Regions from separate parts of the Mus musculus genome. Here region 2 is reported to be linked to region 1. Evidence: microRNA targets listed by miRTarBase, many of them from high-throughput screens and not tested one by one. Region 1 holds a microRNA gene; the other region holds the end of a gene's coding sequence.

The links. The annotated mature microRNA mmu-miR-3073a-5p reads GUGGUCACAGUUGGCGCCAGCC and lies in region 1 at 2,744-2,765, shown strand. An mRNA with a match to its seed (bases 2 to 7 or 8) in the 3' UTR can be bound and repressed. Matches are read on the target gene's strand: a 7mer-m8 pairs with bases 2 to 8, a 7mer-A1 pairs with bases 2 to 7 and ends in A, and an 8mer does both.
Region 2: the mRNA of Trmt12 is a reported target of mmu-miR-3073a-5p. Seed matches in the 3' UTR shown: 8mer at 1,202-1,209 and 7mer-m8 at 2,986-2,992.

Annotation. Positions count from the first base shown.
Region 1 is chr12:112,106,509-112,110,896 of GRCm38, forward strand. It overlaps Mir3073a (microRNA 3073a), which reads left to right and starts at 2,730; the gene lies at 2,730-2,814. It overlaps Aspg (asparaginase), which reads left to right and starts at 175. Exons shown (of 15, transcript NM_001081169.1): 1 at 175-465. The coding sequence starts at 384. It overlaps Mir3073b (microRNA 3073b), which reads right to left and starts at 2,801; the gene lies at 2,742-2,801.
Region 2 is chr15:58,873,420-58,877,800 of GRCm38, forward strand. It overlaps Trmt12 (tRNA methyltranferase 12), which reads left to right. Exons shown (of 1, transcript NM_026642.2): 1 at 1-3,362. The coding sequence ends at 676. Among named protein-coding and RNA genes, the nearest start is that of Trmt12, 3.0 kb to the left of the region's middle.

The DNA.
Region 1 (4,388 bases):
CTCAGAGACTCAAGGAGTTTGTGGAGAGTGTCTAGACTGGGACTGGAGAGTGGCCCTGACTGGGCATTCTGGAGGTCCCTGGCCTGAGTTAGGTAAGGCAAACCCAGAAAACCCGCCCCTTTTTGAGGCCCCACCCTCCTATGGTCTCAGCCCATCCCTAGCAGACATTCTTCCTGCCCTTTACAAGAGTCCAAGTGTCCCGCTCTCTACTTTGAAGGTGACTCCTCCTCCACACCCCGAGGTCCAGCCTACCTTGGATCTTCAATTCCCACCAACCAGAGGAGCCCCAGACCTCCAGTAAGCCCCACCCTGCAGTCCCCTCCGCTTCCCGGTCTTGTTTTCCCTTTGGCTCTGTCCCCACTGAGGAGCCAGCTGTCTCAGCCATGGCGCGTGCTATGGGACCAGAGCGGCGGCTGCTGGCCATTTACACTGGCGGCACCATCGGCATGCGGAGCGAAGGCGGAGGTAAGTCTGTGTCCCCACGCCCTAAGCAGAACAACCTCAGGGCTGGGCCACTGGGAACTCTGGGGCTGTCTCTTGAAAGGGGAGAAAGGACCCTTTCTCCTCTGGGAGCTCTGGTGGCTGGAGCCCCGGCCCTAGAAAGGGTGAGGGGCAGAGTAAATGTTCCTGACCTGAAGTTATCTATCCCTGAAGCCATGAGACTCATGGGGGGAGGAGGGACCATGGAAGGCTGCTCTGTTCTGTGCCTGGGGCGCTGGGAAGGATGCTGGAACATTCCACACCTTCTAGCCTATGAAAGCCCTTAGGGTGAGCTAGCTTCCTCTGAGGGACTAACACTGCCTCAGGCAGAGCTGCTTGCCTGCTCTCTCCCTGCAGAGAACCTTTAGTTTTCCTAAACTGAGGGCCAAGCTGGTTGCTCAAGGAGCTTGGGCACCAGGGTCAGGGGCTTGGAAGTCTGTCCTCTGACACATTCTGCTGCCTCTGGTCGAGACAACCTGGGGAATGCCCCCCGGGGACACCCCACTAGCAGGTGAGGTCGTGGCCAATTTGCTTAGCCTTCACTGGACTGATGACAAAGCAACAGCACCCATTAAGAAGCTGAACGCTAGCGGGTCAGTTACTGCAGTGGGCACCGTGTGTGCTGTTGGGTTGTAGTGGGGCCACTCTCTGAGGGCTCCTTTGAGAACACAGGCTCCTGGAAGGAGTGGCTGCTGGGCTGAGGAAGAAGTGTGGCCAGACCAGGACGTGCAGTGTGAGGAAAGGAGAGAGGAACCCAGCACACAGCTTAGAGAGGAGGCTTCAGAACTGCCTAGAACAGGGACTGGCCCTATGCACCGGGACCTTGTCCCACCTGGACTCTTCCCCTCTCGGCTTGACACTTGGGCGACTTCAGTCCTGTTGAACCTAATTGGTGTGGCCCAAGCTAAGGGACCAGTGGACTCTGCGCACAGTCCCACCTGTGGTGACACTGTGCCTCGTGCCCCTTGGATGTCCCCGTGTGTGCTACAGTGGAAGAACATGATGGGTCAGGAAAGTGCAATGAATCCTTGAAGGCCCAGGTCAGTAAGGTGTGGGTTTTCAGATGGGTGAAGGTCTTCTAGGCCCCTTACGAACCCCCCGGGGATATGCAAGCCCTGGGAAGAGACGGAGGCCAACAGGCATCTGCCTGGTTTAGAAGCTCCTTCCTCAGGGTGGCAGACACACCACCCAAGGAGATCAAAATGGCAGCAGGCTTCAGACCCCAGGACAGTACGGTTCTAAGCTGAGGGCTCTGCTCCCCAGACCAGCTTATCCAGAAACCCATCCCAGGCCCTCATGGGATCCCACGGCCTACAGCTTCTGACCCTTTCCACTTTTTTTTTTTTTTCCGAGACAGGGTTTCTCTGTATAGCCGTAGCTGTCCTGGAATTCACTCTGTAGACCAGGCTGGCCTCGAACTCAGAAATCCGCCTGCCTCTGCCTGTGCTGGGATTAAGGGCGTGTGCCACCACTGTCACTCTTTAGAGCAATTTTTGGGAGCCTTGGGCTTAGTCCTCTGGGAACAAGGGAGAACTAGAAAAGAGATGTGGCTTTTGATGGCCTCGAGGGGGATCTACACACACAAATGGGCAGTCAGTGCTAGGTCTTAGAGCCTTGGGCCTGCCTCATGTGTGGCAGATAGGAATGGGCACCTTAACTTTCTAAAAAAGGGAGATTTTCATTTCTGGAAATGAGGCAGAACCCAAAGCAAGGCAAACTGGGTAAAGCCTAAGCCTGGAACCTGGGGCTCAGGCAATGTCGCAGCCCTGTGTGCCCTGCTATGAGGTTGCTGAACTGTGGGCTGCAGGCCCTGCCTGTCCTGGATGGCCCCACTGGCATGAATGATTAACCAGCGTGGCCCCACTTTATGTGGGTCCTGGCCCCTTGTGAGTGGGAGTGGTGGCTTCCGCTACAGAGAAGCTGTTTATATTGTCGCTGTTGTAACAGCTCGTGTACCTTCTGGTAAACAGTGCCCAACACTGGGTGGGGAGTCCTGCCAAGGCAGGAGAGGGCAGAGGTGACCTTATGCCTCACCTCTCCACCACCCCTTTCAGGGCTCTATGGAAATGTCACAAGTCAAAAAACAACATGTGTCCAGTGACGCTAAGCCTGGTCCTAGGCTTGTTTCAGTGACACCTGGTCACCCAAGGGCTTCCTGTGTTAACTAGGGTACCTCTTGCCTGCTGCCCTTGGGAGCCATTTGGTGCAACCACCACAGGGGAGCTAAGCTTCTGCACGGAGTAGCCAAAGCTGTTCCTGCCCAGTGGTCACAGTTGGCGCCAGCCCTAGAGTCTAGATGGGTTGATGTCCACTGTGACCATAGTGCAGGCCAGCAGGAGGCCAGGTGGAGGGGGGTTCAGCATCCCAGGGTCACATGCTTTGGGGGTACCCTCCACGGGAAAAGGATGCAGCTTATGAAATCGGAATCGGGAATGAAGGCCAGTATTAGAACACTGAAAGAAATCACAGAAAATTCTAATTTAAATGGAATCCAGAAAAATGGTCTTACCTGGCGGCGGCTCAGGTCCTGTCTTCCTTCGCTGTTTCTGTGACATTTTTTCTTTTCTCGGATCTTGTCATATGGTAACAAGTTTGTAGTTTCTTTCCAGAAAGAAAGCATAGGAGAGTTTAGATTTCTCCTGGCTAGTTTTAATACTTGTCAGGTGCCCCCCTTCAAGATGGGGCTCCCAATGTCTGTACCCCCTCAGTCCAGCTGATGATACCCTCAGGCGCCACTGCCCACGGTCAGAGTTAATAATCCAGCTGTAGACAGAAGACCTTTGCCTCAGGCAAACACATCCACAGGTCTCTCACCTCCGCTTCCCCTTCCCTGCCGCCCCTGGAGTATCTAGTGCCATCTTCTGTCAAGGGAACTCACAGGAGAGTGGAGGTCTCAGTGTCCTGGGGTTGGCAGCCACTCAGCATTGAAAGCCTCAGGGCCCGCCCCACTTTCTGGAGGCAAAGTTTAAAGTCTCAAGGCCTTAACAGCTGAGCGGTCTTCCTGGTGACTGCCAGGGTCCTGGTTTGAGGCCACATTCCTCCTGTCTACGAGGAGACAGCACACCTCTGTTCTGTGTGCTGCTTTGCCAAATGGTCTCCGATGTGTCGCTCCCCTGCCTGCCTTTTCTTACAAGGGCACACAGGTGAAAACCCAGCATCTTCTCTTCCTCCCCGGTGTACTTTACACAATCACACCTGCAAAAACTTTGTCACAAAAGGCAAATGCCGCAGGTTCTTAGACAAGGATGTTGGGTACCTTGGGTAGCTACTGCACGTGGAGGCAAGCAGGCTGATGTCCTGGTCACACCTAGGGTGTCTCTGGAGGCCCATGGAGCTGACTAAACATACAGGGTTCATCTGTTTTCTGAGCCCAGTCCTCAAAACATTTCCATAAGTGACAGGGACCACAGATTGCACCCTGAGAAGTTTTAGGGACACCATGCCAGGCTGGAGGTGTGTTGGAGATTAGGGGGTACCTAGTGAAGCTGGGGGCATGGCAGTGGTGTGGTGGGGAACAGCTTTGTCAGCTCCAGATTCTGCAGGCTCCTGACCTGCACCTGGGGGGCGGGGCATAGAGCACATCTGATCTGTGTTTTACTTATGACAGTGTTCTCAGGAATGAGAGCTAGTCTGCAACAGTGAGAGGCTGGCAAGCAGCCGCGGAGTAGCAGCTGAGGAGGGAAGATGGGAGAGATGTTACTACAAGAGGAGGGGCCGGCAGGGTACCTGGGGCTGGCTGGAGTGCTCAAGTGTCCTTCTAGTCAGCCCCAGAAATAGGATGTCGCCAAGAGCACCCTTGGGAAGGAGGTAGGCTGGATGCTTCCATGGCTACTGGTGTCAGGCTGAGGCAGGCATCAGACTAGGTTGAGGCTGGTACTCCTCTGGGGCCCACAGGTCTGCAGGCTGCT
Region 2 (4,381 bases), not on the chromosome of region 1:
CTGTGCTGGAGAGGTGCTGGTGGATCTCTACGCAGGGATTGGTTATTTTACATTGCCCTTCCTAGTTCATGCTGGCGCTGCCTTCGTACATGCCTGTGAATGGAATCCTCATGCTGTAGTTGCTTTAAGAAACAACTTGGAGATCAATGGAGTGGCAGACCGGTGCCAAATACATTTTGGGGACAACAGGAAACTGAAGCTCTCAGACATTGCAGATAGGGTGAACCTCGGGCTCATTCCCAGTTCTAAAGAAGGCTGGCCCGTTGCCTGCCAAGTGCTTCGGAAGGACGTTGGGGGTATTCTGCATATCCACCAAAATGTGGAGTCTTTCTCAGGAAAGACTCCACAGCCACCTGGAAGCAATAACGTGGAAAAAGAGCACTGGCCTCGTCCCCAGAAAATCACCACTGATACACAGGGAAATGGAACTACTGAGAATTTCAGGGGGGAAATATCATCGGCCAACAAACCAGAGTGGTGGAGATGGGCAGAATCTGCAGAAACTCAGATCGCCTCTCTTCTTCATCAAGTGCATGGGAAACCATGGAGGACACGAATCTTGCATGTCCACCCAGTGAAATCTTACGCCCCTCACGTGGATCACATAGTCCTAGATCTAGAATGCCGGCCCCTGACCTCTAGTTGGCCAGAAGGAGTAGATTTACTGACACAGTAATTGCCAGATGAGTGCCTCATCGAGGGCTGTGTTCTCACCCTTCTGTTTTCTGGTGACCTTTTAAAGTGATCTGTGGTCTGAAAATGAACTCTAGATCGATCCAAAGTTGTCTTCTGTTGATCACATTGAGAATGTATTAAAGTATCAGAGGAAACCAATGTGACTCATTAAAATAGGTTTCACCTGTGCAGACATGAATTCTGCATTTTTTACCTTAGCTTTCAGTGATATGGCCTTAATATTCATTTGGTCTTGGATTTATTTGCATATAGAGCCTCCTTGAATTGGATCGTGTGGCTTTTTTTTCTAGTAAGTCATACAGACATTATTACATGAAATACAGTATTGGTCCCACAGAGTACTAGCTACATTATGTGAAATCAACTGGTAAGCCAAGATCAAAATAGGGAAACCAGTGTCCATTTCTACAGATGTTTTGTAGTTTGCAGGTACAAAGTGACAGTGGTTTGCACTAAAGTGGTAGCCATGGGGTCTTGGAAAATAATAGGTTGGAGAAAAATCAGTGTGACCAAGTTATGAACTCCAGACTGAAGCATTAATGTGATGCTGCTTTGATACCGAGACTAAATTACATAGGAAGGGGCAGTAAGTAGAGGTAACTCAAATTCTATAGCATTTCTCAGTGGAGTGTCTGTGTGTGGGTGTGGTATTAAAGTATTAAATATTAGATCTTTTTTATTTTATGTTAAAAAGAGTTAAGGCATAACTCATGCCTGTAATCTCAGTACTTGGAAGGCTGAAGACAAGATGATTGCTATAAGTTCAAGGGCAACCTTGGTCAAGGTATAGAGTAAGACCTTGTCTTAAAACCAAGGATCACTTCTCTGAACTGTAATCTAAAGTTCTAGCCTTGGGCAGTATAATAGCTGTACAAAAATCCTAAGATTTTTATAGACTTCTTTTCCTGGTCAAGAAACTATAGGAAGCGCTTGCCTTTTGTCAGATGCTGTGAACAGGCAGTTGGTGTCAGGTGTAGCTGGTGGAATTCATTTCACTAAGAGTTGTTCGATCCTGAGTCCCACGTAGCCCAGTTACATAACAAGACAGGAAGGGAAATAAAGACAGCTGGGAAGGCAAAGCTCTGGTTTCCCACAGTATGACTTGTACCTATAGTGGTCAGGTAAGCTAGTGTTGGCACAGAGATGTAGCAGGCATTCTAAGGATGCTGTTGAGTTTTCACCCTGGAGATGTAGCATCCAGGTATGCTAAAACAGGATTACAGGACTTCCTTTATTGAGGAAATCCTTGAACAGTGTTACTAGCCCTGAAAAGTATTTCTTTTTCATTAAAAAAATAAAACACACACACATATACATACAAGATGAAATGTCTAGAAGCAACAGTAGCAGCTGTTGCTACTGTGGGTAGGAAACACAGTTTTCCAACCATCTGATTATAGAGTCACAAGGCTTTCTACTTTCCACTGCTTTTGCCACTAGGATAGCTAATCGCTGAGGATCACATAGAGCTCTGTTTTGACGAACTTTGAAGCCCAGTGAGCTGGTTTGCTTGATGAAGGAGACAGACAACAGGATGTCTTCTTCCTTGTCTTGCTATAAAACCCCGCCTTACATGCGTTGTGCATGCCTGCTGCTCTCTTTCTTGCAACAGTAGCTATAAGGGCTGTGCCGGTGCCTTTCTCATTAAGCACAAATATTCAGTGCCTGCTACATGTGATAGGTACAGAAAATAAAGGTCCATTAGGTTAAAAAGTCCTCTCCCCAGGGAGCTCACAGCTTAGCAGCAGAGAGTACAGAGGTCCTCAATGCTGGAGCAGAGTAGCTGCCACACAATAACTTGCTGGACAGATGCAAAAAGGGGAAGAAAGTTCTGACAAATAAATAGGAAGTCTATGAGGAACTAGAACTGGTACTTGAATTGGTTGAGTGAGATTTTGCTAGGTGGGGAGGAAGCAGAACTAGGCCCCAAAGTTTCAGTGCTCTGGAAGTGAGCCATTGTGATTTGCTTGTAACAGGACATGATGATATGTGTGTTGGCAATGAGACTGTTGTGAGCAGGGTCTTCTACACAGTAAACTCCCAAGGAAATGCTATCCTATGGCCCCACTGCAGAGCCCTGCTTGTAACACTCCTTTCTCAGAGAGTCTTTCCTGTGTTTGCCTAAATTGTCATACTTCCTCTTCACTGACTAGGTTTCTTTGCACTCGTGCGCCAACAGCTTGCCATATCAGAACTAAAATGCTAAAGGTGCCAACTTAGGGCTTGAGTCCAAGGGAGATGAGTCAGAGCACCACTTGGGGACTGAGGAATTGCCTTTTGTCATATGCTGTGACCAGGCAGTTGGTGTCAGGCGGAGCTGGTGGGATTCATTTCACTAAACATTGTTTAATCCTTGAGTCCCAGGTGGCCTGGGTTATATAACAAGACAGGAAGGGAAATAAAGACAGCTGGGAAGGCAAAACACTGGTTTCTCATTACCCGAGGACTAAATGATCAAAGGTGAGCTAGAAACCCCTGATTGGGATTAAAGTTTTCTACAACAGTCAGGTAAGCTAGTGTTGGCACGGAGCAGACATTCCAAGGAGGCTGTTGAGTTCTTACCCTGGAGATGTAGCATCCAGGTATGCTAAGATGGGATACAGGACTTGTATTAAGGAAATCCTTGATCAGCAACATGAACCCTGAAAAGTCTAATCTTTGCCATTAAAAAAAAAAAAATCTGCAACTCCCCAACCCCTGGCCCCGGCTACCCAACTTGTTTATGCCACAGTTGGAATTTTTTTCTTATAGGCAGAAAATGTTTCTTGTATTCTAAATAGTGAACTAAGTATCCGTATGATATATTTGACAGACAGTAGCATACAATATAGGAAACAATAAATAAGCAACCACACAGCAGTGTGGCAAGTACTAAGGACAGATAATAAATCAATAACAGCAGCAGGGCAATGCTCACACCTAAAATCGAGACCTATAAAATCAAGTTTTTTCATTTGCTGTTAATGCTGCCACCTACTGGAGAAGCCGTGGAAATAAAAACTCCATCACAAACTCTTATTGGAAGACCATTCATAAATAACACTAAGAGCCAGCAATGTACTGGATTCAGCAAAGAAACAGTGGACAAAGCCAAACCAAACCCAGACTCCACTGACCTCATAGTGGAAGACCAAAAGGTCACACAACACCCACATATAGCGAGTCCTGGGAGGAAAGGTTCTTGGTGCGACAGGAACCTGTGGTTAAAAGCACACACCTTTAATCCCAGCACCTGGGAGGCAGAGGCAGGTGGATCTCTGTGAGTTTGAAGAAAGTCTGGTTTACATAGCCAGGATATCCAGGTCTATGTAAAGAGACCCCGTTTCAAAAAACAAAACAAAAAGCCAACAACAAAGCCTAACCCCTTGGAATACGTGATGATGGGGACCAAGGAGCACAGGCGTTACCGGTCTAGAATTAAGGATAAAGTACACACACAAGTGCATTGTGGAGGAGGCATCTGAGGGGCTAAAACAAGTTTGTGTACGTGGAGGAGGAAGAGTAAGGGCTGAAGGCAGGATAGGAGTGTGGTGCAGAAGATGTGGAGGCACGTGCCTGTGATATCAGCACTTGGAAGTCAGTGGCAGGATGAACAGTTGAAGACAAGCCTTGATTACATACACAGTGCTGAGTCCCCGTCTCAAGAGCATCTAAATAGAATCAGACATTATTGGAGAATTTTAAA